2 linked regions of the Drosophila melanogaster genome follow. The protein of the gene in region 1 interacts with the protein of each later gene in a pairwise test. Each region holds a gene or a part of one and is shown on either strand. Other genes may lie near its edges.

Region 1 (16,387 bases):
GATGACGTCGTGCTTCTAAATATAAGTTCGTATTCAGTTTACGCGGTCACACATCGAAATGCTCGATGGCCATTGCCATCATCCATCGAATCCATCCGCCTTCTGATGCTGCTTCTGCTCCAACCCGGCTGCGTGTTTGGATGTGTGTTGGGAGCGCGGCTAACGCTTTTGTTGTCTAACCATTAATTATGGCAGTTGGCACTGCCAAACACCGATCAAAATTCCCATGAGGACGCGATACAGTCGAGCATCGCTAACTTCGATTGTGTGATATTTGGTAAAGACTTTAGATTTTGGATGTTATTTCAATGCTATTTATATTTCAAATATTTTATTTCATATTTCAATATTTACTGACAGTGTGAACAAGTTTTAAAGAGCGCCCAATCTTGGGAATCACCAATGTTTTCTAAATGAGTTCAGCTACATTTGCTCAAAGGAATCCAGCATCTACAAAAGGGGATTTCTGTTGGTTGAGGTGAAAAAGTGTGATTAGGCTTGAGATATGGAAGATTGATGTTCAGACTCCTCTGTCTGTCTGTTCGAGAGCTGCCTGTAGATTTTTCCAAAAATTTGCATTATATATGTGTTTTTTATTTGATGGTGCGCGTGCTTGACAATAGCTGACGGATACTGCATATGAAGATTTCGTGCTCCGAGGCTCTTCTATTTTCGTTTATTTTTGGCAATTTCGCTTGTTTTGGATTTTGCCAGATCATACCTTAGGCATTTCATTCATTCTGGTGGGGCATACTAATTTATGGGTACGGTATTTATTTATTGGTTTATTCGATTTGGGGGTGTCAAAGATTTTGACAGACGATACTTTGAATTTCAATATATTGGCGCCAGTAGATTATGGCTCAGGTTATTTGGCGATTTAATTAAATGAATCCGAACTTGTTTCCAAGTTAATATTTCGTGATTTTGCGTAATAGATTCGAGCTATTAAGGTTACGATTTTATTGACAAAAGGCTGGAGAATCTTTGAAAGATGACCTTTTGCCCACCAGTTCTCTTACATCTCTATAGCCTAACCCTATTTTTCAAAACGTAACCATAAACGATATATTTTATTAACAATTATTCATTTACTCGCAGTTGCCATGCGATTTGTTCTATGGTGAATTTTTACACATTTCTACTATTCCTTAAACATCCCTTAACCAATCAATCTGCACAGGTATGTCTTCGTGCTCAGCTCCATGAATGTATTTCAAAAGTCCAACGCCAAGTCAAGACTCACAGCTAATTTGACAGACGACCCATTGCATGCCTATAATGAGGTCGTGCAGAATTTGATTAAGAACTGGGAGTCGCCAGTTGTCTATCTGAAAAAACGAGGTTTCCTGCCCAGAAACTACGAGGATGCGTCAAGAATCAAGCACAGCCTGGATGCCCTGATGCAACGAATAAAAAGGGCTAAACGGGATCACACAAAGGAGGTCACTTTCAATGTAAGACCCAAAGAAATGGCAAAAGCTTACCCAAGGAATCAACGTGGCTTTCAGCTATCAACGGGCACAATGCTCTCTAGTTTGGAGCAGTTGAAAGTCATCGAAGGCCAGGCAACGAAGGCCAAGACCACGGCCAAGTCAAGTGAGCAGGAGCAAGAGCTGCTGGCAATGAAGCGGCGATTGGAAGAGTTGCAGCAGGTAGCAGGTACCGGTCAGGATCAGCCAGGATACCGTAGGCAGATTAAAGTAAATCCAATAGACAAGGATCCAGGGAAGTCAGCACAAAGTTATGATGAAATATTGCAGCGAATGATTGAAAAGACGAGCCCACACTACTCACAGCAATCCAATTCGCATTTAGAAACCCATCCAAATCAACTAGCGCCAGCTCCTCCAGGAGCAACCCAAAAACTTGATAATGTGCAGATGGCTCCCAAAGAAGACAAGCCGCTGACTTTAGAACATATCGAGTTGCATGCGTATACAGCGCAAAGTGCTCCCCGAAATTTATTGCATAAATCCGTAGTTGATCTGCCCATACTTAGAGCAGCGGAGACCCAGAGGAGCAAGACCGCAACGGAGGCATCTAACGTGGAATCGAAGTTGCGCGCGCCCACCTATCTGAATTGGGACATGAAAAACGGTCGACTGGATCATTACTCAAGCGTGGACAAGGAGGCCTATTTGAACCAGTTGGTGAGAGTGTTCGGGCGCAATTTGGATTTCAAGGAACCCACTCAAAAAGGAAAAGAGCCGACAGTTTCTTAGAACCGCGGTTCTCCTTCCCAAAAACATGCACTCATCTTCATAAAACGTTTTAAAATATATGAGTTCTGTTCAATGAGTCATAATCCATTTGGAATCCATGCCCGTGCACAGTAAATACATCTATACGTTTCCATTTCCGATTTCATGCCGATCGACAATGATGGTACGTCATATCAATGGCATCACCATGATTATTTGGATTTCTTCTGTTTACCTTGCGCAAGAAAGCAAAGAAAAGCAGGATATTTCTGTTTACCATTTGTTAGTACTTAAGCATATTTTTGCTTTCAATGTTGATTAAACAGAGATCAATACAAATTTTGCTAATGGGTTGACGACATGCAGTGTTCAACCGATCACTTCAGCCTTGTATGACTATATTATATTATTATGAAATAATATTTATTGCAATTCATAAACAAGAAAGATGTTCGTTTGATATTTTCGCCACGGCACTCATAGTATTCTATAAAGTTTCAATATTGGAATTCAGAAAAAGCCTTTTACTGTGGCATGCCACCGCATTGTAGATTGGTCTAGAATTCAACTAGGCGCCTGACCTAAGGAAGCGCTAATACTGTATTATAGTTGTTCCATAAACGGAGTGAATATTATTAGTTGAGGTTGTCCCGCGTGGACGATGCCTTGCGCACCGCCATGGGCGATCGTCGTGGCGATCGCTGTTCCATCTGCTGCTGCTGGACGTTCACGTAGTCCAACTCGTTTTCCGGAGAGGGTGACGAGCCGGCTCCGGAGTTTCGTCGCGACGACGATGGTCGTACGTTGGTGTCCAGGTGTCGGAAACTGAAAGAAAAGGATGTGGCGGACACAAATTATTCGTTAAGCTCGGTGGTTTGTCTCTTCACTGTTTGTCTTTTAAAATACTTTCCAAGTACTTTCGAACAAGACTCACCGCAACGAGACGTTACTGCCCTTTTCCTCGTTGTTGCTGTTGAAGAGGAATGCCAGCGGCCAGGATATCCACGAGTTGTGGTCCACCGAACTCTGGGTCCGGATAATGGGGGCACTGCCGCGGCTCACAACGGGCGAGGGCAGCTCCATTGAGAGCTTGGGAGTGCCGGCCTTGTTGATCGCCGGGTTGTAGATCTTCGGATCGCTGACCATGCGCACGAAGAATGAGCGCTTCTGGGCCAGCGTGTCCTGCTTCTTGCGGTTCATGATCTCGGACAGCTCATCGTGCTGCTCCTTCTCCAGCAACTCGTTGGCAAAGTCCACGATGATGTCCCAGGCGTAGTCAATGTCCTCAGCGGTCGCGTTTTGGGCCACGGCGCAGAACCTGATGATGTAGCGATCGCCCACGCTGGCCGGAACCATGTGCAGCTTGCCGGACTCGTTGATTATGCTCAGCAGCTTCTCATTCAGCTTGTCGGAACCCTTCAGCCGAAAGCAGACCAGGCCCAGCTAATGGAATCAAATACTATTTATTTTGGTTCCACAAATCTGCGGCGAATGACTAAAACCAAACTAAAAATTAAAAATCAAAACATGAAGGTATTTGAAACTTCTAAAGTAATAGCGTGATCCGAAGTCTCTATCGTGTATGCTTATAAGCGATTGTCTCCATCGTTTATGCTTATAAGCGATTTAAATCATAAGTATATATTTAATATTTTCAGTTATCTGGCGAAAGTTTAGCAAGATACAAAGAAATCCTAACAATGTGCTAGCTTGATTTATTTTTACTCCCGAAATATGTAATTAGTTGGAAAACTACAACGTGACTATCTGCAGATCCGCTACCGAATCGAATCGTATCGGCCAATTGACTTGGCCACGCTTACGCTCAACGAGTTTGAACGTTCATGTGTCAGTCGCTGACTCGATGAATCACTTGTGGCTGTCTCTAAATGATTTTCAATAGCAATTATGCCAAAACACTTCCATTGTCGGGTCGAAAAAGAAATCCATTTTTGCGCCCGTTTCTTTGCGGAATTTGGCGTGTAGTTGCGCACGTTTGCTTAGTTTGCTTCGTTTGCAAGGCGGTGTGAACAAGTTCACGTCTTCGTGGTCAGAGCTTGGGCTCCGGACACTTGCGTTACCCACGAATCAATCCATTTCCCAACTATTTTTGGACCTTACATGGGCGCTCGGCCCTTGGTCCGCATAATGGACCCGCACTCCCACCCGGTTGCCCGTGGCAAATGAAAACCCCACACATTTCGTGGGGTGTACAAAAGAGCTTTGAACTCTGAGCATGATTAATTACCGAAATAAACCGAATCGATTGAAAATAAAACTTAAAACACATATAGAAAACGAAACGAAAGCAAATATGTCTCACCTTGACTTGGTTACAGATCTCGAAGCGCTTATCTTTGAGCACGAGCTCTTCGAACCGCTTGGCCAGCTTGATATGGTGACGTATATAATGCTGCAGCCCGGAAATCCCATAGGATCGCAGCACGAACCTGAAATCATACAAGTCTTTCTACAGGCAAACTCAGAGTGGAATTGGGCAAATAATATTCTTTTGGGTGGTCACAATTAGCAATAAACGTATGTTTGGCGTTGTCATATTTCGATGTGGACTCATCTCATCTGCGGGATAGATTCGGCACACACGGAGCACCGAAACCCTTGCTTTAACAACTAATCGCAAGCAAATACACGAGGGCATAATTTGAGTAAACAAGCCAGCATACTTAACGCCACTCCACTCCAATCCAAAAACAATTCAATTGTCGACAACAGTCAACAGACCCATTCGCACTTGGTTGGCTATCGAGGGCTTTCGGACCCCATATGGCACATGCTACATACCACAGCTTCAGCGAACGAAAACGCCGACTGAGTGGAACTCCCCAATGACGATAGTCGATGGCCGCATCCGAGTAGCCGTGCTTCAGGTACAGCGGATCCACCACCAGGGCTGAAGTCAGCCGGATGCGGTCCCGCACCCACAGCGTCGAGCAATCGAAGTTCGTCAGCAGCCATTTGTTGGGATTGGTGTTGAACGAGTCGGCGTACTCGATGCCCTGTGAATGAAATCCAGTCAGATTGGCCATGCGTGCCGTGGGAATACCACTCACCTTCAGGAGCGGCTTCAGCTCGGGGCAGATGAAGCTGTTGCCCGCGTAGGCGGCATCCACGTGCAGCCAAACGCCCGGGAATCGCTGCAACTGCTTGCCGATCTCTGGCAGATTGTCGAACGCACACGAGCCCGTGGTACCCAGAGTGGTGGAGACGAAGAAGGGCACCAGACCCTGCAGTTCGTCCTCCTCCATTGCCTCGTAGATCGTCTGGCCGCGCAGACTGGCGTCGTCGTCGGGCTCCAGAATGCGCAGCTTCACGAAACAGATCATCGCCGCTTTCTCCACGCAGCTGTGCGCCTCCTTGGAGCAGTAGGCCATAAGCTTGGACAGCAGGTGACCCTCCTCCACAAACGGGTGCTGGGCCTTGAGCCTCTTGAGCGCCTGTGCCCTGGCAGCAAGCATCGTGACCAGTACGCACTCCGATGCGGAAGTCTGGTGGCCAAAATGAGCCATTGTTAGACACGGACGAGTTAATCATGTTATATTATATGTAGATATTTAAAAACTACAAACTAAGTCGGCCTTCTTCACTCTTATAATCTATGTACCGGACCAAAGAAAGTTCCGTCGTCCTATAAAAGATTTATGTTACCTGGATGACTCCCCCTCCGGTGCTGCCCTCCTTGAGGGCCAGAAAGTGGTCCGGCAGACCGATGGCCTTGCCAAGCCAGTCGAGCACTATGGTCTCCAGCTCGGTGCACGCGGGACTGGCGGCCCAGGAGAAGCCGATGCACCCGATCCCGTCGCCCAACATGTCGCCCAGGATAGAGGGGAACGAGTTGCCCGCCGGAAAATAGGCGTGGAAGCGAGGATGCTGCCAATGCGTCACGCCGGGCATGATCTTGTCCTCCACGTCCCTCATGATCTGGTCCCAGTCCTCCGGCTCCTGCGGTGCCTCAGCTGTTCGAGAGGGGTGGTGAGGGAGAAACTGACCAGGTTCTGCGGTCATTTTTGTGGCTTACGTGGCAACAGGTGTCTCAAATATCCCGGCTCCACGCTGGGCGTGACCCGTCGCTCGTTCAGCGTTTCCAGATAGTTGCAGATGTACTCCACCATTTCCATGCCACGTTTTCGAAATTCGGTGCTGTCCATTTTCGGTAGGTTTTCCAAATCGCCTTTCTGAGTGTTTTCCTATTTTTCCGTTTTCTTTTACTCCCACGGTGAGCTTTATTATGAAAAGTTTAAAAATTGTACAATGAATCAGCGTAGTGGGGCAGTACGTGCAATTATATTCAATTTTTATTGAATGAACAAATTTTCCAAAATTTGGGGAGTCGGTTATTTCCAGATTTCCGGATATTATTCGTATTATTTTGTGTATTTATATAAAAATGTTTTTTTTTATTCTTGGACAAAGTTTTAAAAGAAAATTAGAGCAAAACAGGAAACTAGCTAAATAAATAGTTTTGAAAAAACTGTTTTTTACCAAGCTAGAACATTTTATAATTAGGAACAACGAAACTATTATTTTCAATTAACTTGCCGACTGTTCCTACTATATAAATAATAATAATTGTCGTCTGATTTTAGGCAAATTAAAATTGAAATAATATATTACCCCACAAAAGTGGCGTGTACCGATAAGGGATCAAAAGCATCGAAGGTACATTTTTCTTTAATTTTTATCTCTAATTATTCCTATGGTAGTTACGAGTATATAATATATACGTTCTGACTTTTTTGTATAAAAAAAAAGTTTTACATTTTGCAAGCATTTTGGTTAGAAAAAAACATGTTTGTCCGCTCATTGATAAAGTTTAAATTAATATCCTTAAGTTCTGTCAAAAAAAAAAGTATTAAGCGACTACGCGAATACGAATTTTATAACTGAAGCTGTTTTTGCTTGTATCATATTTGTATTATTGTTAAATTAACCATCTGAATAAAAAAGGTGATGTCCACACAGTTAATATAACATCTTAAGATAACACATTTGTTATTAAATTTGTTATTAAAGTTGTGTTTCCTTGATCCTTGAATTGGTTTTCCTTTTCTCGAGTAGACCGAGTAATTTTTTAAAACAGAAACTGGAGTAACAAGAATGATTTTAAAAATTTTGAGAACAAAGAAAATCTTTTCCCAGGCAGGTTTTCGTATAGAGTCCACTTTCTTCAAAAATTCATTACAATTTGTTGGCAAACAAGAATTTATTCCGTTTTCATTGCTATGTTATTTATAGGATCTGATTTATTTCGGCTGGAGCTTTATTTGTGGCTTTTTTGAAACCGCTGATTCAATTCTGATTTGTAAACTTTACTATAAATTGGCGCTATTTTAGATTTATTTTTCTCGATATAGTGCGTTGTTCCCTAATTTTGCTTGCTTTAATCACATGTATTTAGCATAAACATCAATTTTGTTTGTAATTAAACTGCGGTTCCTCAGGCACGTTTTACGGCTTTGTAAAGTATACAATTCCCGCATGGTTTGACCATTATCCATTATCGAATCGACTTCCGGATCCGGGGCACTTACTTGTGCTGAGCAAATTCCGATGGGCGAATGGGAATTTTGTTTCGAACTCGAGACCACGAACCGTTGGCCCCGACTGGCAAAACCAAACTGATCCTTGCTCTGCGGTCTGGCCAAAAGCTAAGCTCGGTCGTAGCTGCCGTGGCTGCTGCTTCTCCTTCGGCTGCCCTGGCATGTCTAATGAATGCATACTTCAGTGGGCCGGACCAGGGATGAGGGCTGAGGGTGCTGGTGGTGCTGGTTGGTGCGATTGAAATGGCAAATAAATGGAATTCTTGCGACGCTTCATTCATAGCTGTGAGCTGTGGGAGTGGGGCTCGAAATTCGCCTGCGTTGTGCGTGAAGATATGCAGGGAATAGAATGGGCGAGCTAGAAATTAAATAACCACCGTTGCCCATGTGAGTGGTTGCACGGTGCGTATGCTTGATGCTGCGTTTAGCTGTGGAAAATTGAGTTTCGAATTGTTAAATGATTAGCAAACCTAATTTGCTCTTAAAGTGCAACTCAATTTCGCCATGGATGAGTTAATTAAAAGAACGTGTTGTCATAAACACACAACAAATTACACTGACAGGACAGCTTCCCACGTCCCGACTTCCCACTTGTTCTTGGCCGGGGTGCGAATCGTTTTATTAATAACTTCCGCGCCAAATTGAATTATTGTTCGGAACGTACTTGATGGGGATGGTGGCGATGCCAAATGATTATGACGATGGAAATGACGACAACGATGGCCCAGGCGGAGCAGAGAGGCGCAGGCAGGAGCGGAGTCGAAGGAATTTCAACGCATTCCTCTCGGAAAATTCCAGCCCGTTTTCCTTTCCCAACCCGGGCTCCTTGGATCCGGCTGCACTGGGCCATAGAATTGTCTGGGACACGTGGCCCCATGTACTTGCCATCATCATCCCGCACAGCCATACGAATCCTGTTCGTTTTTTTGTCGTTGTTGGATGAAAGTTCATTAATAAACTTTCATTGCTGCTGTCGAATTCAGCTGCAGCAACCATCTCCGGGCACTGAAATGTTGTTCGGCCTTAGCTTCAACAAGTGGCATCATGCTCCTGTGGTTATCATCCCCCGGTGACCTCCTTTCCCTTTGGCCACATCGCCATCCCCATCCCCATCCCAGAAGGGCTTTATTTAATGGGAAAACGCTGCGAAAACGCTCATGCATCCGCGCTCATTTAATTGCTGCAGAAATGGTTTTTTATTGACTTTTACTTGAACTCCTCCTCAAAATGAATTATATCAATGTGCAGAGCATCATGGTTTTGTCCCTGGGTTTGCCTTACTTCTGGGGAAAACTGATGTTTTTCGTTTCAATTATTCTCCTGATTACTAATTTCGGAAAATAAGTTTTCTTCAATCAAGTTTTTCAACCATATACGAACCATCTGCATTTGAAACAAATATGCGATATTGTTTTGTAAATTTAAAATTTTTCATGTTAGAACAGTCCTAAAATAAAGTGTTTAAGCTTAAATTCCTAATTGAACCCTTATCGTTTTCAAAGATTTTCAAAACTTTTTTCGAGCAACATGACGTACGTGTAGGGTGTAGGTGAATTGCAGAATGGTTCTTCCGTTCTGTCCCTGCTCTCTCGGCTCATAAACCAAGCAATTATTCAATTTCCACGGACTGCGATGGTCGCAATAGCTGCTTCGGACAGTTTACGACGAGTGGTTGGTTGTTAAGTTGGTTCTCGAGATTCTGGACCTCCGGGCTCTTTTTTCCGCCATTATAGGTTCAAGGTTGTTGCTGAAGCGCTTCGTCGAGATTATATTTCTGAAAGAGTGAAACAATCTTGTTTGCAGATTTTACGGAAGGCCTCAAAATGATGCACTACCGCAAGGCCGAGAATGTGGAGAAGGAGCTGAGCAAGAGCGATCTGCCATTCGAGGACTGCATGCCAAAGTCCCAAAAGGATTTTTTGTGGATGCATGTGAGTAGCACTAACAATGTTTCAAATCCTTGCCTGAAAGCATCCATTTTGCGAAGGTAAAAGGCGGTACCAAAGTGAGCAATGTGATTGAGTTTGCTCAGGAGGCGCTGAACAAGGGCGAGCACAGATGCGTGGTGTGGAGCGGATCCGGCGGAGGAGTGGTGAAGACCATATCCTGTGCCGAGGTCCTCAAGCGGAGCCACCCCCTCTACCAGGTGACGCGCATGGCCTACACCAGGTGAGTCGGCAATAAGCAGCCAATGTGCAATAACTTTTATAATGTACTACGCAAAGTGTGGAGGAGCACTGGAAGCCGCAAATGGAAGGCCTGGAGGAGATTATAGTCACACGCCAAATACCCACCCTGCACATCCTCATGAGTCTGGACGAGCTGCCGGATACTATAGATGGGTAAGCTAGAACGGAATATCAAATGCATCAGTAGCGTTAAAGTATATTCCGATTAGCTTACAAAAGCCAAATACGTCCACTGATTTTTGGGATGGCGGAGGAGCACAGCAACAGCCACATCCACGTTCCCAGCCCCGCCATCAGCAGCAGCCACATAAACCAGGGGCTGGGCGTGGGGGTCGGCCGAACAAACGGACCAGACCCGGACGCAATAAACCAGGCCAACAACCCGAAAAACCTGCCGCTGAAGAGAATTTACCCGCCAGTTAGAGTCAAGGTTGAGATAAGCGGACCATGCGAAGATTTTCTTATTTGCCCTTTGTAAGGATGTACAAATAAAGCCCAATTTATCACAAAAGACCAGCGGTATTAACGCAATTGCGGGCAATAAAAGATTAGCTCTCCGAAGATAAGCGCGGTCTTTGTATAATTCTTCTTTATAGAACTCTTATAGAACTCTTCTCAAACTTACAGTAGATGCTCTTTAATTCGAATGTGAAGTAATCTAAATTAGAAAGTTTAATAAGCAATTATAAAGTACAAGTAGAAGAAGAGAAATGTAAATATATATCGGTAATTTCGTTAATTTATTTTTGCAAAGATTTCGTTATAGCTTAGTATGTCAATGGCCCCAAGTTGTTTAAAAAGGAATGAAGCGAATATGCTGCCTTATGCTAAGATAATATTATACAGTTTCTATACCTAGGACAATAAACAATACTTTGTGGGTTCCCTTATCAGTTGAAATTCGAAATCGGTGAGTTGGTGTTAGTTGTTTGTCAAATACAAATTCAATACCCAGAAATTAAAATATAGCTGATAATGTGTGCTAAAGCATCTATTAAATGTGGACAGTAAGTACCAATGCAGAACAAACCGTTTATTTGATATTTTAGGTCAGAAAAATTAGATTGTTCTTATTCACAGCGATTGAACCAAATTTTAATTATTTATCAAGAACTACAAAATAAAAATTGTGTCGAATGTGATGTTTAAATCCTTTACTCATGGGATATGATTGAAAAAGGATGTTTCCAGCCCAAATTAGCAGATCAGTCCGCCGAAGGAACTTTTACTGTAATTCCGCATTCATTGCTGTGCACACAAAGCACTTAGGAAAAGCTGCACAAATCTAATCTGGCGGATTTCAATGGCGTTATCATCCCACGAATGTGCAGGTGCCGGTGCTGGTTAGTGTGAAAAATGCTGGGCCTGCGACGAGTTCTGCGATTGGGTGCACTGCGTCAGCTTCGCTCGTTAAGTGGCAAGCCGCAAGGCGATGTCCTTCCCGGGAGCTGCGGAGTCCTGATAATAGGTGGCGGTGGCATGGGCGCCTCCTCCGCTTTCTGGCTGAAGTCCCGGGCCCTGCAGCTGGGCCGCAAGCTCAATGTGCTGGTGGTGGAGCGCGATGCTGGTGTAAGTACAAGGTGGCCTAAAATACGACACAGAGTTATTCAAAAAGTATCAACAATATCTTACAATTTTTGTAGGAACACCTTCAATTTTAAGGTATAGGGATCCAAAATTTACCCCAATAATGTTTGAACCTTTGGTTTCAAAACGGTTAAAAATAATTATGTAGTTGCTTTGCTCTGATCATATATCCAATATCCAATATCTACCAATTTAATACTTTTCCTATTGTATTAAAAATTATTATTTATTCGGTATCTAACTGAAACTTATTCGCTATTGAATAACAACAATTTTTATACAATTTTCCAGTACACCAGCGCATCTACAGTGCTTTCTGTAGGCGGAGTGCGGCAGCAGTTCTCTTTGGCCGAGAACATAGAGATGTCGCTCTTCGGATACAACTTCGTGGTTAACGGCAGGGAGCATCTGGGCGACGTGGATCTGTGCTACCAGCCGAACGGCTACCTGATCCTTGCCTCCGAGAAGGGAGCCCACATCCTAGCAAAGAACTCAAAGCTACAGAACGAGCTGGGGGCCCGAAATGAGCTGCTAGGCCCGGAGGCACTGCGTCAGCGGTTTCCGTGGTTGTCCACAGAGGGCGTGGAGCTGGGATGCCACGGGATTGACAAGGAGGGATGGTTTGATCCGTGGGCCCTGCTCATGGGCTACAAGAAGAAGGCCCGTGCATTGGGGGCGAATTTCGCGAACGGTTCGGTAGTGGGTTTTGAGTGGAACGATTCGGGCGGCCTTTCTGGAGCTGTGGTCGACGCCGGAGATGTGTTGCAGCGCACGGTGAAGTTTGACACGTGCGTTCTGGCAGCGGGAGCGTACTCGGGTCAGGTGGCGCGTCTGGCAGGGATTGGTGATAAGGAAGCAAAGGAGGCTTCCCTGAGTGTAGCCCTGCCGGTGGAGCCTCGCAAGCGATACGTCTATGTGGTTAGCACTCAGGGTAAGAATTGTCCTGGGCTAGCCACACCTCTGACCGTTGATCCCGATGGCACCTACTTCAGGCGGGACGGTCTTTGCGGCAACTTCCTGTGCGGCCGCAGTCCAAACGAAGACGAGGAGCCGGAGTGCGAAACGCTGGACGTGGACCACGGGTACTTTGAAACGGATGTCTGGCCCACACTGGCGAACCGAGTTCCTGCTTTTGAGTCTGTGAAGATACAGAGCAGCTGGGCGGGCTTCTATGACCACAACACATTTGACGCAAACGGCGTCATCGGCAGGCATCCTCACTACAGCAATCTCTTCATTGCCGCAGGCTTCAGTGGGCACGGCATTCAGCAGACTCCCGCCGTGGGTCGAGCCATTTCCGAACTAATCTTGGACGGCAAGTTTACCACACTGGATCTGTCGCGCCTCGGCTTCGAACGCCTTGTAAACCAACAGCCTATGCACGAAGTGAATATCGTTTGACAAATTTATCACAGGAGGATCGTACTTGCCCTTGGTGTGTTTATGTATGTACTTCTTTTATTGCAATTTCTGTTGTGTATATAGTAATTTTGTATAGTAAAGTTCACGTTTTAGTCACGTACAGCTGTGTTGGTGTTTTGGCTGCCAGTAGTCAAGGGAATTTAGTTTAGTTTACGGGGATTTGACGTGGAATCAGCCACGAGAAGGTCGTGTGCCTACATATAATTTATTAAAATAAGGAGTTAAACATAATCGTAATATAACTTGCGAAATAATTGCTGACTTAGGATCAGATGGGGCGAGCGGGTTTGAGGGGGTCTGCCCTTGTTACTTAGTTATCGTTATGTAGCTCTATGTGTATCTGACATCTAAACTACATACAAGATCTGCATTAGAGTCGGGTCCGCGTGGAATCGTTTCCCTGTCAGGGTGAGCCAACCCAACTTGCAAGCTATTGGTAAATATAAATAGATGTATGTTGAATGAGTGTTTCATGCGAGTCTGACTAATCTGGGCGGGCTCCTAAGCCTCGCTTTCGCCAGGGGCCGCGTTTTCACCCACGTTGATGGGCACGATCAGATTCTCCTTCGACATCAGATTATATTTTGTGACGAAATGCGTGAAACGGTGGCACAGATACGTCTCGGCCTCGAATTCGTCGAAAATGCGACGATGGTGAAAGTAGGCGTGCGAGAAGATGCGATACACCCGCCGACATACGGAGCCCAGCTTGGTTACCGACGACTCCTTGATGGACACCCTGGGAGAGACACTTTGCTTATTATGTGGCTAGTTCAACCATGTCGCTAAGCCTGCATACCTGCTAGGGAAGTACTTGTTGCTGTTTAGCAGACAGGCGGCACCGTCCAGCGTGTGGCGTGTGTAGTCAATGGCCGGACATTCCTTGGGCGTCTTGTGCGCGGCGCACAGGAATATCCACTGGTCAGTGGCTGTCATCTGGGTGCACGTCGACGGCGAGCACTCCTTCTGCAGCCGCACTGCCAGGCCGTTCAGCTCCATGCAGAACTGGCGCAGGTGCTCGTACTTCCACACGCCCTCATCCTGGGCTTCGGGCATGGTCAGTATGAGTTCCACGTTGCTCGGGTCGCGCTTAATCAGCTGCTGTATGTACTGCTGCACCGCCAGCGTGCTGTCCATCTCCTCCAGGGGCTCGTCGGGCCAGCGACAGAAGTCCTGAAAGGCGAAACGGAAAACGGGTCAGACGGGCCGGGCCGGGATCGTTGTTCGGACGCCATGTCATCGCTCACCTTGGATTTTGTGCCTGGCCGGTTCCTACGCAATATGGTCGAGCCGTCAGCCATCTTCATGTTTCACCCGCTCGAAGACGCGATGATCCACAACGTCTGTGCCTACGCCTTGATGAGAAAATCACTGGCAGAAACTGAATGCTAGCCTGGTCCCTGCCCCGCGGGAGTCTCCGGATGTGGGATCCCTGCACCGTAGTATGCTGAGTGTATTCTACAGGAGCTGGCACATCGCTTGACAATTAATTGGCGTTTATCCTCCAAAACACTTTGCTTTGTGCGAGAAAATTTCTGACAAATTCTACATACATACATATACCTATCGATTGGCCAGCGGCAGTGCGCATCGTTATCGATAGGGCGATTGCAGCCTTGCGGTATTTCGGTATTTCCGCCAGCCCTGGCCACAAAGTGGCCACACTGTCGCTAGCCAGTCATCATAAATACGAACAGATTGGAAAACGTACAAGAATTGCGTATTATCTGTGGCATTACGAGATCGTACTTTCTAAAAACTAGCTTACCGTAACCCCCGTCAGCTTAAAACATGTCCTACGCGTACTTGTTCAAATACATCATTATCGGAGACACAGGTGAGTGCAAGCTGCGACTTCCTTTGAAACGGAATGGCCAGTGAAAAGTTGGCCATTGTCAGGGAAACAATCTGTAATTGCAAACAACACAACAAAACAAAGGGCATCGCAGGCGTAGGGGTCGTACCCGAAAATCAAAAAATGGGGGTTTCAGGTGGTCTCAAGTGAAAAATTGATACCGTGAGATCAAAATTGCGTCGGCAGGAAAATATTCCTGGAGTCGGTGGGCCGAAGGAAAAATCAATAATACCATAACAACGCATACAGGCGTTTGCTGCTCTCAGAGTTAGTGGTGCGCGGGGAGCAGCCCACACATAAACCCTGCTGCTGACTCACCCAACCACCCCCAGTAATTGAGGGATTCCGCCCCAAAGAGCCACGGGCTTATCAGCACTCTGCTTTTCGGGATGTCCAACAGCTGTTGGCATTTTCCAGCCTGTCCCACCTTTTCCCCGCTCGCCCACTAACCCTTTTCCGTTTCCGCAGGCGTGGGCAAGTCCTGTCTGCTGCTCCAGTTCACGGACAAGCGATTCCAGCCGGTGCACGACCTGACCATTGGCGTGGAGTTCGGAGCACGCATGATCACCATCGACGGCAAGCAGATCAAGCTTCAAATCTGGGACACGGCTGGGCAGGAGGCTTTCAGGTACCCACTTCTGTTCATTTAGTGTTAATACTTAAGAAGGGATAAGTGAAAGCTCAGATTACTTCCAAAATTGAACTGAATAAATTTTTGCAAATTTCGTATCCAAAACCCCAAGTCCAAGGCGGATAATAATTCGGCTCGTTTTTTATATTAAATAAAATAATTTGAATAAAATTCTTACTTAATGATCCAAAATAATAATAATATATATATATAGAGCCTTTAGTAAAAAGGCTTAATAATTTGTATTCAAAAAATTTTATTTGCTTCATTTCGGCACATTGTTGATAGATGTTTATTTAAAAAAGTTTTAATTCTATCATTTTTAATTTTTTGTGATATAAATTTTTTATACTTTACTTAAAATTAAATAGAAGTCGTCAGACAGAAATTTAATGGGTTACTAATAATTAAATAATATAAGCACTGTCATTTATATAACTGTATTGTGACGCAAAATATTTCTTGAATAGATCTATCACACGCTCTTATTACCGCGGAGCTGCTGGCGCCTTGCTGGTGTACGACATCACGCGACGGGAGACCTTCAACCACCTGACCACCTGGCTGGAGGATGCGCGTCAGCACTCGAACTCGAACATGGTCATTATGCTGATAGGCAACAAGAGCGATTTGGATTCGCGGCGTGAGGTGAAGAAAGAGGAGGGCGAGGCCTTCGCCCGCGAGCACGGACTGGTCTTCATGGAGACTTCTGCGCGCACAGCTGCCAACGTAGAGGAGGCGTTCATAAATACGGCCAAAGAGATTTACGAGAAGATCCAGGAAGGTGTCTTCGACATCAACAATGAGGTAAGAAGGATACATTTAACTTAGAAACTTCTTGCCACTACATTATTATCTCGTTACTAGGCAAACGGCATTAAGATCGGCCAACAGCACTCCCCCACAAACCCGTCGCTCCCAGGAGCCGGAGGAGCAGCTGG
Region 2 (17,053 bases), on another chromosome or scaffold:
TCAGAAGGACAAGTATTAATATCATGTTGTACCATGTGGTTAGGTTTTTTTTTTTTAGATTTTTAGCCAAACACCGACACACGCTGCCGTGAAAACAAACTAAGGTTCTGGTTGGACCGGGAAAATGGAGGCCGACACTCATTTCCTTTCCGTCCTACTCAATGTTTTTGGTAGATTCGGTGCGTGTGGAAAACAGGAAGTGTAAACATTAATTGTGCCACGTGAAGTACGGAAATTCAATTAGACGCCAATGGCGGGGAATATACATATTTAACTGTTAGTTCTCCCATTAGGGAATGCGGAACCACCTGCAATTTAGGCTATTAGAAAACTGAATGAGAGAAATGCTTTTCTAACTTCAAGACCCAATTGAATTCCAGTCGAATGTGTCGTTGGCTGCCATTTAGCCTCATTTACCACAAATTTCCCATTTGATTTTAGTGCAAGCAGCTCATCTTGTCAAATTATCTAATTAAAGTTAAAGGCATTCGGTTTTATGGCATGACCGAAAGATATCTTTAAAAGACAAATACCTCGAATGCCCTTGTCCCCTGTCCCCTGTCCACCGCATCTCACTGTCACTTTAGCTGGGCTCCCTTTTCGGGTTTTTTTTCTCTGGCCATTGGCATCGGGCACTATTTGCCGTCAAATTATTTGCTCAGGAATTCAAGACTATTAAAAGGAGGACAGCGCTTTCAACCGCTGTCGCATTACGCAAAACGAGTATACATAGCTGTGTTTTGAAAATACATTCGCAGGGGCAGAGGTTTGCATATAATTTTTGGACCGACCCGCGAACAAAACCAACAAAGAACCCGGCGCACACAAGGGAAAAAGCCTCGGCTGAAAGGCAAACAAGCCGCCAAAGGAGCCGGGCAAAACCCAAGTTAGGGCGAAATCTGGGGCAAGAAAAAAAAATGGGAATAGGGAATATGTGACTGGGGGGCTGGGGAAGAGGGAATCGGACTCGTCTGCGCCATCTCAGCTATTAATTTTCATTTGTCTTGTCATTTCAGGCATTCCGCAAGTGGCCTGTTGCTAAGCCAGCTAAGCACAGCTCAAGTTACCTTATAAATAGTTTTCCCGCCTTATAAAAAAATACACTGCCAGCTGCGCTTACCTGTAACGAAAAGGAAATTGGGAAAATACAGTCGGTTAGTGAATCCCTGGATAAGTTGAAAAAGTTTGTGCAATAAGTATAGGTCGGTGCAAAAACAAAAGACAGGAACTTTCGCAAGCGCACAGTATTTCCTAAATAAATATCAAATTACAAACTACACGGTGTTATATAAAATATGTTCTATTTCAAATGGGGAATGTAATGACTTGTAATTTAATGTTTAAAGTAGAATTTGGCTTAAGGTAAAAGGAAACGTTTTCGGTTTAGAATTCCTCGAGATTGTTGAATTCCTGACAGTCCCTTTTGAAAGCCAAGGGGTGGCAAGTTGCCGTGGCAAGTACTTAATGTGCGCCTTAAAGCTTAAGAACATTGCATTAATTTTACGAGTAAAATGAAATGTCTAGCGTACTGAACCTTAAGCTTTTAAATATTGTTGTGTTCGAGAGCATTTATTTCCCACACCATTAATCAATCGGACGGCTGTCCGCCATGCAAAGTGCAACCTGCAACTGTTTCCCTGGCCAGTTTCCCAGGGCCACGCGACAGCTGCCACTGGGTTTGCATTATGAAAAACCATATGGGAAAATCAGCAACAACAAAAAGAAAACAGCATGCAGCATGCAGGGAACGCCGCGGCGTTCTGAGCCACATCGGCAAAACAATCTCGCCACGCACATATGCTTTGGCCACGCCAACTCGCATCCATGAGATTCACTTGATACGGCGAATGGAAGCTGAGCCGGCAGCTGACTTGCAGTCCTTCGCTGCATCCAAATGCACATCCATATCCATAGATAGCGATGCGACGGCGCAGTGTGGGAATTTCGCTATGAGAAAATGAGACAGGTCCCAGCTGCCTTTGTTGAGCTGAGTTCTCCAGAGGTAGCAGGAATAGGAATAGCAGGTAGCTGTTGTGTGCATCTCCGTGTGCATGTGCATGTGCGTGTGCATGTGCACAACATGTGGAAAATGCGGCAGAGGGGAAATGTGGAAGTCTCGATGATGTTTTTCCCGTCATTCAAAAATCCGGTTCGGCGGCCACTTTGATTGTGGAGCCATTTGAATGAGTGCCACAGGCAAATGCCTATTTTATCGTTCCAGATTTCGGTTTTGTTTGGATCCGTATGCCGTTTCCGGTTCGAATGTGGACCAGCTCCATCACCGGGCAGCATGCCTTCCCTGGGATCCTTGGAATGGCCAAAGTTCGGAGGTCAGATGCTGCTAACGAGATTCGTTTAGTTCGCATTGTGCGACCTTTGTCTCAGGCCAACGCCCACAATTCGAAAAACAAACGAAGCCGAGCCGGAGGTGTGAAAAGAGGTGTGCTTATCTTTCTAGGTAAAGGGTCTTAGTTGTCAGAGCCTCAGGTTGATGCATCGCCCACGATAAGAGTGTGGGTCGATCGGGCCGACAGGTCGGGCCTATAAGGTCTGACTTCTTGAGCTGGCTGAACTGGCGCATTAGTCAAGATTCATAATGGTTTGTTTGCAGTGCCTGATTTCGAGGGATTGTGACCAATCATTTTCCCTTTCATGTAATTTCATTTCATTTCATTCCTTTCTTAGTTATCAATTAGTCGCTCTCACACTTGATTCACTTGGGGGCACTTCCTGTCGTGGCCACAAAAAGTAGTCCACGAATAGTTTTTTATACCCATTTTTCCACTGGCGAATCGGGTGAAATTTACGATCCGTTCAAAAACTGTTTGGTAAGCGATATATTGTCAACTTAACAAATTTGTCGGCATGAGTGGTCGAATTCCTTTGTATTCGAGTCTGTAGCGCAGACATTCCATTTATTGTGGGCCACGCCATACAGGAAGCTGATTGTGTCTGGTGCCCAGAAAATGTGTTTTGTGTAACTATTCTATTCATGGGGCCATAAATTACCAGAAGTCGGGAATTGCTCGAGGGCCGAACTAACCAAATAGTAAGTTTTCCAGTATTTTAATGAGCTCCGGTCATAAGCTGCGTTAGTAGACTTTTTGCCAGCTTTTCTGGGTAACTGCTAGCCAAAACTAAACTGGTTTTCTGTTTTCCGAATTCCCAAAAGGACCGAGCAACATTTTTGCCAGCCAAGTACTAATGAAATTACCCATGAAATTTGTTTGACGCAGTTCTTCTACTTGTGCTGAACAGAATCCGAGATGTGGCCAAATTAGGTCCAACTTAGCCAGTTAATGGATTCTGTTCGAGTTGTGCGACTACTCAAACTATATAAACATTTTTCCCATTTGTTCCCATGTTGTGGTATCTCTGTTGTCGATTATCATCGGCTTTTGTTCTCAGGTAAATGCCAATTTAATGCTACCCCAGCAACAAGTTGAAATTCGTTCCCTTGACATTGAAACCATAACAAGCTAATTATTCTTATAATTCAGGTTTTTCATATCACAACAGTCTAGGGAAATGTACGAAACGTTCACTTCTGTTACCACAAAAATATGGCAACGAATTGAAGTTGTATGATACCAAACTGATTTCATATGACATACCAAAAGCTTATAGTGGCAAAACGATCATAGAGATCATCTTGATGCGGTGTCAATAAGCACGATAAGGCACGCTACTAGCTCTAAAGTCTAGACCTATGACTAAGTAAACCTCTGACTAAGTTCGTCTGTCGGTGGGGAAAGGGGGAGTACTGAAGTGAACATCTCCATCCATCGGCTATTTGTCACGCTTTGACTTAGCCGCTGCAGCACGAGCCGCGCTCGACGACAGATCTTAGTCAGTTGGGCAGGTTGGAGCTTTTGCCGTCGGTCTTTGACTTGGCACTTCGCTGCTGTTAGTCGCATCCAGCGGCCAAGTTAGTACCAGAGGTGGAAGTCGAACTTGCAGCTGCTGGGACAAGTGGCTGAAGGTGATTGGCCTCGGCAATTTTGTCGCTATTACGCCTGGAAAATGACTTGGCATCGCTCGTATGCAGCAAGGTAAAAAAGTTGCCACGCCGGTATTTAGTGCAAGTATGTTGGCTTTCAGGCGGCGATGATGTATTAACCGTTAATGCGGCATGCCCCTGACATCTTCCTGGCCATGTCGGAAGCTATAGACGACTATATGTATGTAGGCAGTGGCACTTATGATATAAAACAGCGCGCCAATCCGGGGAAAACCACAATAAACAGCGTGGCGAGGAAATCTCGATTTGACATTCAATTAAACTCAATTGTTGTTCAATTAATTAATCAATTATGCATTTTTCATACCGCCGCATTAATGTGATTTATTTTCGCCGTAGAACAGAATTATTCGGCACTTGAATGAATATTGCAAGGCAATAAAAACGGAAATAAATGGTTTTCTCTTGATAATGAGAGGTAATTCGAGGACGATTCGCTGCAGATGCAAAATGAGTTTTAATAAAAGGATCGATTATTTAAGGCCTAGATGAATTTACCATTAAAGCGGCAAAAAAAGAGCATCGGATAGTCGGTGGCAGTCGGTTGGGCATATTGTTCAATTTAATTAAAATGTTCGAAATTATGCATTCTCCTACTGATCAACTGAATTAACCCCATATGCTGTTTTAAATAATTCACTGCATTTTTTCGTTTGCTCATTGAAAAGAAATAGCGATTCATAAATCTGTTAAAATCCTGTCATATTTTATGGACTTTCTCGCCCGTCAAACGCTCTGCAAACTGAAAACGCTTGCCGCCTCATAAATTTAAAATATACCAAAAAAAAAAGTAAATCGAGTGGGTAAACTCTAAAAAATATCATAAAGCTTTCAGCTCTCTGCGGAAATTATAAATTCAGAGCAAAAGCGCGTGGTTCTTTTTTTATTCCGCCTTGGCTGTTTTACACAATTACAAAAAGCCAGAGGTATTTTTTTTTTATTTGAATTTTTCCTGGAAGCCTGCCAGGTATTGTACACCAGTTTTTGCGGTTGTCAATAAATAATTCCAACATGGATTTCTACCGACAAAATGTTTTCGTGCCGCTTATTTAGATAAAAAGCGCGCTTTTCCAAATTGCATTCCAATTTCCATTCTAGACAAAAGCGCTTTTCGCAGTGGAAATCGTTGTTTGTGATCCAAGGCAAGGTCGTTGCATTGTCTTCGGTGGGATTTCAAACACAACCCCACACAAATTGCGCATTTGTTTCGGATAAATCAGCTAAAAATAATACACAAATTACTGTCCCACACTTGAATGCCTTCCCCCAGTCACAACAGGCCCAAACTAATCATTAAATAAATGCGGCTGGCCTTAAAAAACCACCACAGATGCATCTGCAGCTCGCCCACTTTAAAAGATACAAAAGAAACCGAAATTCCGTGAAGAACCATGCCTCGCCCTAATGAAGTTATGAGCTGGAAGACCAGAATATCGCTCAACCGGGGGCTGGAATACTTATTTTTGATGCCACTCTTTCTTGCATATTCCATAAATATGATGAAAGCTGGAGGAGATGGAGGAGGAGAAGGCTTCCACTTAAGCGCCGACAATTAATATTTTCCATATTTCTTCTGCGCTTCGCTCCCCTCGTTTTGTTTATTAGAGTGTCGATTAAGTTGCTTTAATATTAAGCAGCCCTCTATATTAAGAACCCTCCGAGATATATGGTTTATCTTACGGGGAAAGCGAATGCAGCAGGCCTTGTTCCTATTTCAGAGTTCAGACGATGCAAGATAAGCGCAATGAGTATATATACACTCATATGATTCACTTGCAATTGTGGAGCAGTAGCTGAGGTTCAAGGCACCAAACGGTTTCGTTTTGTATCAGCAAGTTAATATCTCAAAAGTGCCAGTGCGCAAGTGAAGCACAAATCAAAACGGCGCTGCTGCCAATCAATGAAAACTGTGAGCTGCCAAAAAATCGGGCCGAAAGGAGAGAGAGCGGGCAAAAACAAAAGGTTCAGCGGTGTTACCCAATCCGATTCTCACACAAATTTGCAAACGCACAATTAAGTCGCCTGGGAGGGAATCCGATGGAGCTTCCTGCAGCAGACCCTGCGGAGCGCATGATGTGCCAACAAAGACGTCAACTTGTCACCCGTCCAGTGGCCAAGTGGCCAAGTGTCCAGCTGGAGCGGCACAACGGCCTTTAGCTTGGTTAATTTATCATGGCCAGCGGAAGGGAATAAAGGAGATGTGCAAAGAGTGCAATTGTGTGAAGAATGTAGTTGTTTTTTTTTTTATATACGAGCGCTCTGGTTTTTGGGCCCTGGATTTCTTTTGGGCCAAGTGTTTGTATTTAGCCGCTGTGCCGCTGACTGATGTGCGGATATTAATAACGCTCAAATAGAGCTCCAAAGTGGGCAAGCTTTTTGGTCTTTTTTTGCAGTGGCTCAGCACAGAGTTTTTTTTTGTTTTTTTGTATAATCCTCACTTGCTTTAATCCAGCGAGTTTCCGGCCTTTAGCTCTTTTTGCCCCCGTCGAATGGGTGCTACACGCATATTGATTACCAGGTAGTCAAAACCAGCTGGGAATCGAGGGGTTACGAGCGTTTTAAAGGCGAGTAAAAGCTGCATTTGCAGGGTCAGTTAATGAATCCCCACAGCAGTGGTGAGTCAATCAACTGTTGGGACTCCCAACATTCCGCATTCCCACAGTGCATTAAGCCCGAGTCCGAGCCAGCAAATTCCTGTCCCAGGATAGCTGCTGGGAATCGGAGGCGCAGAACCATCCGGCCACTGCAAAGTCAACAGCAACAAAATCACTTGCGGTTTGGGCCAACATCCACAGCCACAAATGCGAACTGAAGTGGTAAGTTTGCTTTTCTTTTTAGGCGTGAGAATCGGTCGCCAATTCAGGTGGGCGGATTACAGAGGCACGTGTTGGTGGAAAGTCAGTGGCGAGAACGATTTCCCAGCCGATAAGATGGCCACTGTGAGATACATTTCGCAGCTAGATTTACGGCCTAATGAAAGTTTTACGAGGTTTTGCTCGGTTCATAGCGAAAGGTTACCCAGCTTTTGACCCTAATGGATCATCTGAACTGCTGGAAAAAGTGATAAAAGCGAGGTGAAGAAACTCAATTGGACAGAAGAAAGTTCCAGATGAACTTTTTCTGCTCGTAAAGCAAAGTATGGGGATCAGCGAAGACACCTGCGCTTATATAATGTAATAAAGGGATATTAATCTAGGACAATCTACTAAAATGTGAAAGGTATTTCCCAAGACAAGATGTTCCTATCATAAGAAGACTGATCATCAGTACAACTTAATCTCTAAGCTCTTTTCGCAGTAACCCATTTACAATGCAAATTTGCTTCTTATGACTAATACTACATAGTTTCGCTGAAAGCCAAATCAATACGGAATCACTTAACACACAAATTCCCCAATGCCTAATCGTTTCGAATTATACATTGTAGTGCTAGAGAAAACCAGATGCCATAAGGCGTTATAATTGTTTTACGCCACCATATCTCACAGGTTGCCGTGCGCAAACAAACAGTTAACAGGCTTTGTGTACCTTGGTTTTTTGTTAATTAATTGTTAACAAAACGAAGTGTCAACAAAAAAAAATATCAACCGAGAGCGGCTGAGAGAAAAACCACGAGTAAAAGCGCCAACTTCCAGTTTTTTGCTGACTTTGTGCCATCATTTATATTAAAGAAGTCGTATATTATTTTTTCATTTCGCTGCTGAACTTGTTTATTGAATTTACCATTTTGAAGCCGCTGACTCAGTACGATTTTCGCTGTAATTTAGCCGAGTTAGCGAGAAACGTTAAACGAGGCTGCAGTGCATAATATATAACCGAAAAAAACCCCCGATTCGGGCCAGCATTCATTTCAATTGAATTTTGAATATTTCGGAATGCTAAGCTCCAACATCAAATTGTGTTGCCAACGCTCGAATAAATTGTAAATCAATTTAAGAATCAACAAGAGAATGTACGACTTCGGGTGTGAAATAAAATAAAATAGCTTAGGAAAATTGCAGTAAAATAAATTGTTTTATTTTATAGCCGGAATAATTTAGAGTAGAACTTTTACATATATGTACGCAAAAATCCGGTTAGCGCACATTTATGTCGATTGACAAATGCTATTGTCTTTTTATTGCCAGTGCGGGTGTGTCTTTGGTTAGATGAAGAAACAATAGACTTGAATGTACATAACTGTATATGGAAGTCAAGCAACTTCCTCAAGCTATAAAGCCACGCATAAATTACCGAGGAAATTATACAAAATGGTTTGTTCAACCATTCACTGGAATGGAGCTCTTAAATACAAATATGATAGAAAATGGCTAAAAACTATAAAAGCGAATTGAGATGTTAGTGCCAAGATCTCCAGCGAAAGATAAACGATCCCTGATGCAGACCACCCTCGACTTCCTGCCATCGATTAATCAATAGAACTACTTCCTTTTAAAACGCCCCTCGCAAGTACTACGTGTGTGCAATGTGAAGACTAAATGAGGCGAATATCCTTTCATGGCTCACGTATCCAGCCCAATACAAGATACTTCTGTTAAGCACAGATTTGGTGGTACTACCTGTTCCGAAATCGAAGCAGAAGGCGCTAAACTGAAGGAAACCGCACTTGACAGTAGCACACGAGCAGGTAGGCCCAAAAAGGTAATCCCTCTCTCACGTAGTCTTCTGAAATTCAGGATGGGATCGCAGCACGTTGAGCCCTCTGGGGCGTATTGTACTCGTGCATTTCCTGATTTTTAATTAGCCAAATAGAACCTAACAAAGACAACAAGTTGGGCCAAACGGTCTGAGGCTACGTGCTTGGTATGTGAAATCTTTAGCCCCTCAGTGTCCACAGGAAAACAATGCTCCAGACCGAATACTCCTGTGTGCGAGAGGACAGGAAATTAATTCGATATCAATACTTTTCTGCGGTTGCGTTGAAAATTGCGAGAAAGTGATGGTAACCACCACCTCAGGCTAGCAATTTTATAATCAAAACCAACCGCTTTTGGACATCGGGATTTTCCCCACTCGTAATCATGGTTACACCGCCGTCTGGTGGACAATGCTAACTTATTATTGCAACTCCTCATTAGATGATATTATGTGGAATTGACATTAAGGAGTTTGACAATAAGCACAGCAAAGACAAATGAAATGATACACATGTGTATCCGATTGGGGGGCATTGTTAATCGAAAATCCCCAATGAGCATTGTTACCGAACTGAGTGATATCATTCATCTGAGCTTGAAACAACAGAGACGGATTTTCTCACAGAAATCTACAAGATATGCATCAAATCAAATGTTTGGTCGAGACCCAAAGTTTGTGTCATTCATAATCGGCCAACAAAGCAACTCGACTAATTAAGAGAGTCACTCGACCAAGAAATTTACATGAAATGTTTATGCATTTCCAAAATAGCTGGGAAGGTCTTATGTCCGCCTGTGTGGCCCTCTAATGGAAGTTTGAAATATTTGCATAAAAATTCAAAAAAATGCTGAGCAAATTGTCGAGTTGCAGATCCACGGATGTACACTTGTCGGAGGCCAAGAACCGGACAATGATGCTCAGCAATTCCGTATTTGCATTGTAATCCCCCTAGATGACCTCGGGAATGGAGGAAGTGACTGGCCAACAGCTTGGTTACCGTTGCGGGTTCAATCAACTCCTCTGGCCAGCGAAACTGTCTGGATCTAATCGCGCAATTCGATAATTGAGTGCAGGAGAGTGGGCTGTGAAAATTCTGGACTTTCGCCAAGGCGAGAAGAAACCCAATCGACCGAACTAGATCTCGTCTAGCAATCAAACTTTCTAGATGAAGAGCGAAAACTGGACCAGCGATCGGGCGCTTACCTTCTAGCGTATGATTTGTAGTATCCAAATGTGATTTGTGTGTAATCCCAAGACCTTAAGGCCCGAGACTTTGATGGATGGCGGTATAAGAAGTCCGGAGTGCGAAGACAAGACAAGGTCGCGTCGTTTTTCTTCGGCTGCCGCTTTTAGGGCCCTTTGGCTGCTTGGCATTAAGTTATCAAGCACTCTACGCCACTTCGCATTTCTTCGCGTATCCAAAGGTGCGTATGCGTACGTGCTCCCTGCTGGGGAAACAGGTGCACTCAGGAAGCAGCTGCACTGATTTTTATTTTAGCGTTGCACTTTGAGTTTCTATCCGAATTTGTTCACTTTTTGTACATATGTATATTCCTTTGGCTTTCGTACCAATTTTATTTTAGATCTGGACGCACATTCACTTTCGTTCGAATAGGCTCGCTACCGTTAGCCAGTTCACTAAGAATTGGAAATTTTCGAGCGGAGCTAATGTAGATTGAGTACCGCACTCGGCAGTGTTTACAGACGCACTGAAGCCGCACGGCTAGCGTCTGCGAGGTCTAACCCGCTGAGAGGAGTCGCATTCAGATACCTGTTTTGTATGTGTGTGTGAGCTGGCTCTCGCGCTCTCGCCTCTCTGCACTCAGAAAAAAACTATAGCTAGCTTGATCAGCGGAAAGCAACGCAGATACTTGCAGTTAGCAAGTTATTTAATAATTTGATAACTAATATTTAATTTTTTTAAGCTGACTATAAAATTCTCTCTCTTCTTATCTTCTACAGGGGACTTTAATTCAACTTGAAATGAGCCAAGCTGATCTGATACCATGTGAATAGTATGAATGTTAGGTGAATGGATTTTGGGAAAACGCAAATCGTTCATAATGGAGCCACTGGGGGTGTGGGTTGGCGCTTCGTGGGCGAGTGAGCGGGCGAACTAGTTCTGTCTGCGGCTCGCTCTTTTCGGAGAGAGGAAAACTGGTTTCCAATCAGACTTAGACTTTGCCGGCATGTGGGTTTCCTCATGGAAATCTGGGGATGGGGATTCGCGGTCGAGCGACGCCGGATGGGCTTGGGCAGAGCTACATAAATGACCAAAGTTGAAGGGCGAGGCACGGCTAGAGTTTACGGACTTGTAATAAATCAGGGAGTTTTCAAAGCAGAAGACTTTAGCTAGTAATCGTATGTATATATGTGTTCACGCTAGAACGGCATTAGTAGTTTATTTAGTTACTAAACAACAAGAAAATTCAAAAACTGTACTACCTTAACAGTTTCCACAACAATCAATATGAAGCTGATGCATTTTTAATAGGTAGACCTTAAGACTCCTTCTATAGTATTCGATTAACAGGATCGATTTTGTAACTTTAAGTCTGGCGAAACTAAATCCAGGAAATAAGCCCTGAACTTTGGCAGTATGTAAACTGAAAAGGTGAAAGAAAGTTCAACATTCAGGCGAGATATTCCATTCCGGCAAGTCGTAGATTGCTTCGGTTTGATGTTTTTTAGACCCCACAGAAACAACAAAGAAAAGCAAAAGTTTAAAAATTAATTATGACAAAGTCAAAAAGTCCAAAAATTATTAATGAAAGTGAAATTATCATCAGCGAAGCGAAAAACAAAAATAAATAACAGATTTTTTGTTGCTCGATAATTTGCGAATGAAAAGGAAGGAAAAAACCAACCAACTGATGCGCCAGTAAAATTCATTAGACTTTGATAGATGAACTTGATGAGTCGATGTCGCTGATGGACGACGGACTCGCAGAGTTGTGAAAATCTGAGCGAAAAATGCGGAACCAATTTTATTTGTTTGCTTTTTGAGAGTAATTTAATTAGTTGGAGCACGGCAAGTTATGTTTGCATGTGACCCGGGGCGGTCAATTAAGAATTCATGAATCAGGCCCTAATTAGAGGTCGCCGTTTAACAAATTGATACTGGTTTTGTATTCACATTGAAGCCGAAAGATCTGTTCGAAGGTGTTAATAAAGCCCAGTCAAATTGCTTGGCTCCTTAGAACATTCTCCGTTCTGACTGAAGGGTATCAAAGTTTGTCCTCGGGGCACAAAAAGTTACATCTTGTAGCTAAGTGGCATTCCTCTGACCAACGGTTAAATATTTGTGCAGCACTGTGCGGACATGAAAATGGTATCATAGCACGCTTTTCACACAGCCGTGTGAAAAGTACACACCAGCCCAGTTTGAGGGAGGGCAGCTCAGACTCGGATGCAGGTCCCCTGCTCTCCTCCAGTCCACCAGACTCCAGATGAAGATGAAGTCGCAGCGAAGGTATGCTCCAGTTACAGAAGTAACAGTGTTTGTTCAGCTCAAATACAGTAGAGCCTACGAAACTGTTCATGACGGCCCATCGAAAAAGCTTAAAGTAAAATATTTGATGCCCTTGCCGTCGAACTTGTAATTATATGCCACGGAATTGAAAACAAAAGCATATCATATTTAATATGAAACAATGTTTTGCAACAATCTTCCAAACACAAACAGAAATCTTTCGAGTTCTGCCCTGGTAATTCGGCCTGTACGCGCATGGAGTTGCAATTGCGGACTCAGCGCGGCCGGCTGCAAGTTAATGGCTAATGGTCAGCAGCTGCCGCAGCCAAAACAGACGTGCTCCAATTGTAAACAAAAATGTTGGAGCTCGGATCGCCCAAACACACTCGCCTCGAGCTGCACTTGTGTTGGTTTGTATCCGTATCTGTATCTGCATCTGCAACTGTATCTGCATCTGCATCAGCATCTGCTCCGGATGGCAGCGAAGTCTGTCAAGTGGGTTGCGATTCCGACTTCCCCCTCGGTGCAAAAAGCACCGACTGACTTTTTGCGTGCTGAGCACATTTCCTATAAATAGTAGCTGTAAACCATAAATAAAAAACGAAAAGAGGCAGAGAAGCGCAAGGCGAGGGCTACTCTATTCATGCCATCTATCAAGTTGCAGGCACCCGAGATGAAGTTTGCGCTCAAATGATTTGTTTAGACGGCCTGCCACTAAGTGGTGGTAGCCTGTTAAGGCCGCTTTGGTTGTACCGAAATGATTGCACAGCGAATTAGTTGGCATCGGAGTAAAGAGCTATCCGTTTAAGGCCTAAACATCACTTACCCCAAACGAGATCGTCTCAATTGGTGGATATAAATCAAGTTCGGTTAGCAAAGCAGCTGATATTGGCTGGCCGTTGGCTTCAGTATCCATGTCATAAACAAGGACTTCCGATTGCGGCGTCTGCTCAAGTGGCAAGTGCCACGAGCGGCTTAGCGGAGGTCCTCATTAAAGCCGAAACCGAATAAAACACCAAACTTTCAGCAGCTGAGGGGCGACAGCTTGCAGACCCAAACAGGTGGCATCGGCAGTTGGGTCAGAGACAAGTCCTGGAGTGCGGGTCGAGGGACGGAAGGGCGGGAGGACTTCCGCCGATGTCCTGGCCATTTCGTAGCCAGGTGGCCTCGCCTTCGCCAGGTCAAGCGAAAAGGCGTCAAGGATATCAAGGATTCATAACTCATTTACCGACCTCTTGATGAAACCACTTCGATATCAAGTTCTGCTGGGCGAAGCAGCTAAACGGAGAATTACTTGCAGTGGCTTGAATTCATAATGATAATAATTAAGTTACAGAAGTTTATTTTACCAACGTTAAATTTTATATATATATTATAGGTAAAATATTGCATACACCTTTTAGTTCAAACGCGCTTTAAGTGGACTTGTTTATTTTCATTTTAGTTGCTTGCTTTGTGCATTCAGATTCACATTTTAAATGATATATTATTGCTGGATGATTTATTATGCGAAACATTTTCTGTTTATGGACATAAAATATTTGTATTTTTAGTCAGAAATTTTCGGTGTGGGCCAAGAACGCTTTTAATAATGCGCTTCAAACATCCAAAGGCAACGAATATTCAGCGGTGTATTTTCACGTTTAACTAATGTGGTTTTAACAATCACCTTAAATAGCACATTAGCTTTCGATTTCTATCGCATTCGAGTCGCTTACACAAGCAGGGAGTTGAAAATCCGAGTGAAATATAAATAATACCTAATTAATTGTCAATTAATCTAGTTTTTATTCTATTTCAAACTTGAAAAGTAGACTTAACTTATATATGATTACAACTAATGTGCAGATATATTTAAAAAAAACTGCTGAATTCCCCTTGCCCATCGAAAGATTCATTTACACAAAAAAAACATTTCCATTCGAAACGCATAATATTTACAAATCAATCGAGGCATAAAACCGTCTATACTACATGGGAAAGTCAGTGCCCATGAATTCTACTAAGAAAATATTTCGTTGGAGCCCAGAACTTATGGGTATAGGTTTCTTTAATAAACTTGGAAATGCAACGCACAGCGCTCAGTAAACTCCGCAACTCCACACGGAATATGGAAAGCAGTAAAAGCCATACAATCATTGGAAAAGTTATTTGTTTTGACGGAGAGTAGGAGCGTGGGCAATATGGCGAGATCCCTTGCCACATTCATATGTAAATGCATCAGGTTGTAGAAAGCTTAGGTGAAGGGAAAAACTATAACTTTTCAAATCAAATTATTACTCATAAAACGATAGGTCGCGTTGTTAAGTGACTTGTTCTTCGAGGTTTTTATGGTTCCACAATTGAGTGAATCTAAGATGGAAAACGTTACTCTTACAAGGGCTTGTCTAATTTAAATGAAAGTACATTTAAGTTGCTTGTTTCTGTGTAGTAGTTAACTACTGTAAAGAAATAGATTTAGAAATAATATTCATTGCAAATAGCAAACCAAAGCGACTAGTCGCATTTTGATCTAGTACATCGAAATGAATGCATACTATAAATGTATTTTACTTATTCTTTGTGGTAAAATAAGACATATTTAACTAAAAATTAATAATCACTATTTAACCATTCCTTTAGCAACGTTTTATGTCCATTTAGTTAACAGCTTAGACAAGCACGACATCAATGCAATTTTAACGAAGTTTAAAAATCTCGCTGGTAACTATTTATATTTTAAAAGTTATAAAATTACTAAACGATCTGTCTGTTGAAGTAAAATCCGCAAGCATGCACTTGCAGGATAGCAAATCGGATATAAACATCACCTCCAAAGAATTTTGTATGAAAAATGACGAAAGGACGAACCGCTTCAAAAGGATTATTTTTCTGCAGAAAGAGGTTATCCTAAAATTGCAATCCCAATTGTTGGAACAAACTCTGAATTGCAGCAACCTGAGGCAAAGAGTTCGCAGGCTCATTGATAGTTACACAAACCTAAAGTCCGAGCTTGAAGAACTAAGGTCGAAAAGTGGCACAACTGACGGCCCCAAGAATGAGAGCACTATAAAACATATATAGTAGATTTGTTGGATTCAAACAATATTAAATATTAATTGATGAAATGAACCATGATTTTATTTTACATCTTGGCGCACTTTTCTTTGTCCTTAGGGCACTTTCCTTTAACAATTTCGGTGAATGCTGGGAAAGTGTATAAATATTTATACTGCTGCAGGCGAAATTACATTAATATATTCCACTTACGTTTCAGCTTTTTTTGCTCTCGACGGCATGAAATTCTTTCAACTTGGCATCGATTCAGAGCAGTAAACACACATGAGCCATCAGCAACCTTTCCACAATGGATATTACTTTTCCAGTCACAGGTAAGGCATTCGTCTGCAATGGTTTTCGCCAATACCAGAGATACTATAACTACGGGTCTATTATTAAATTTTTAATCTGAATCCAAAAGGTTGAGGTCCTACCAAATATGAGATGGATCTTCATGCCGTCACTTTAGTTTCGAAACTACTTTTTCGAAATACTCAAAAGAACACAATAAACTTTAATTCGATTACAGAACTATGACTGAAACATATCATATTTGCAACAGTTAGCACATGTATTAAAAACAAAATTCAATTTGCTAATGTTATACCATTGTATCTTGGTACTCTTTATACTTTGCGCTAAGTATCTACAGGCTGTGTAGTTCAACAAGAAACCCTTTTCTTTAAAAATGTGCAATTGATAACTTAAGTCCCCTTTTTTACTCATAAAAATCAATATATTTTTTATGACCCTAGCGACTGTGATGTGTTGTAAATTGATTTAATGGCCAAATGCTCACTTTGAAGCTCGAGAGTGCGTTATAAACTGACATCGAATGAAGCCGGGCCCATTTACGCAAGTTGACTGTACAAACGCCATGCATTTGAGACAACTCCTTACCGAAATGGGTAAGCAATCGATGTACAACAATACTACATTTATTTTATATTAGCTGTTCTTAATTTTGAAGTTATTATCTTGACCATATTGACCATTCCTGGCTATACCATTCACACCTTGGCAGAGAAGAAAATCAGCCAATATCCTTGGATCCCGAAGACGTCAACGCATATTACACCTTATAAGATATCTGGGGATATATGAAATATGAAATGTGTTATTATGTATGAATAAATTTCGACGAATTTGTCTGCCCAACAATATATTCTAAATAAATGCATATTTTAAAAGATACTAAGAGCGCATGAAATAAAAGTTTACTTCAATAAGCTTGATATTTTTTTAAAAAAACCAATGTGGTTGTGAATGTGCAGAATATACCTGGTATTTTTAGATTATTTTTTTATAAGCACATTGGACTCTCAATTTATTTATGTATATTTCCAACCTAATATTCCGTGCAATAAGTAATTATCCAAACCAACTTGGATATCTCTACAACTTACTAATTATTGACTTCCATCAAGCATCTTTTAATGAATGTAAACCCTTCCTTAGTTAATTTATCCGAAGCCATCAGAATGATCAAACCTTTTTAGTTTTCAAACATTTTTTTAAAAATGCACTTGCAACTGCATCAGTATTGATTATGTCCTATCAGAGAAATGCTAAACAGGCCTGAAAGAATTGACCATATCAGTGAGCATGGCGAGCAATAAATCTAATTGATTTTGATCGCCGTTTGATGGCCATACTTGAAGCAACTACTGGCGACCTATAAAAGAGGGAACGCAATCATCAGTCTTCAGTTCAGTTTGAGGATCATGAAATTCTTGACCGTATTTGCATTCGCCTGTGGTAAGTAGTCCGCACGACTTGGCCAACGTTTGATAAACTAAAGATAGGCATCGTTATTCTGTTAGTGGCAACATTTGTGGTGCTCCACGGCGCCTACGGCTCACCACTGCCGGAGCCCATTCCCG

What was found.
Region 2: the proteins of Mob4 (region 1) and rau interact in a two-hybrid assay, tested with the Drosophila melanogaster proteins (2 studies listed by BioGRID).

What each region holds. Positions count from the first base shown.
Region 1 is NT_033778.4:6,682,133-6,698,519, forward strand, and holds Mob4 (MOB kinase activator 4), read right to left. Parts: upstream 14,530-16,387; 5' UTR 14,268-14,529; coding exon 14,208-14,267; intron 14,134-14,207; coding exon 13,760-14,133; intron 13,712-13,759; coding exon 13,462-13,711; 3' UTR 12,982-13,461; downstream 1-12,981. Other genes in the region: CG15909 (uncharacterized protein), read left to right, coding at 1,107-1,123, 1,184-2,225; Tdc2 (tyrosine decarboxylase 2), read right to left, coding at 2,840-3,029, 3,139-3,647, 4,528-4,654, 5,007-5,221, 5,276-5,710, 5,871-6,178, 6,241-6,370; Rpp25 (ribonuclease P/MRP subunit p25), read left to right, coding at 9,586-9,693, 9,750-9,931, 9,988-10,104, 10,161-10,374; CG3270 (uncharacterized protein), read left to right, coding at 11,308-11,520, 11,830-12,939; Rab2, read left to right, coding at 14,752-14,797, 15,284-15,443, 15,917-16,253, 16,314-16,387.
Region 2 is NT_033779.5:5,869,126-5,886,178, forward strand, and holds the start of rau (rau), read right to left. Parts: upstream 10,374-17,053; 5' UTR 9,863-10,373; intron 1,121-9,862; exon of another isoform or gene 1,068-1,120; intron 1-1,067. Other genes in the region: CG44574 (uncharacterized protein), read left to right, coding at 14,657-14,696, 14,754-14,834, 14,890-15,194; Sfp26Ac (seminal fluid protein 26Ac), read right to left, coding at 15,256-15,317, 15,381-15,551, 15,605-15,626; CG43185 (uncharacterized protein), read left to right, coding at 16,048-16,078, 16,141-16,274; CG9029 (uncharacterized protein), read left to right, coding at 16,895-16,928, 16,976-17,053.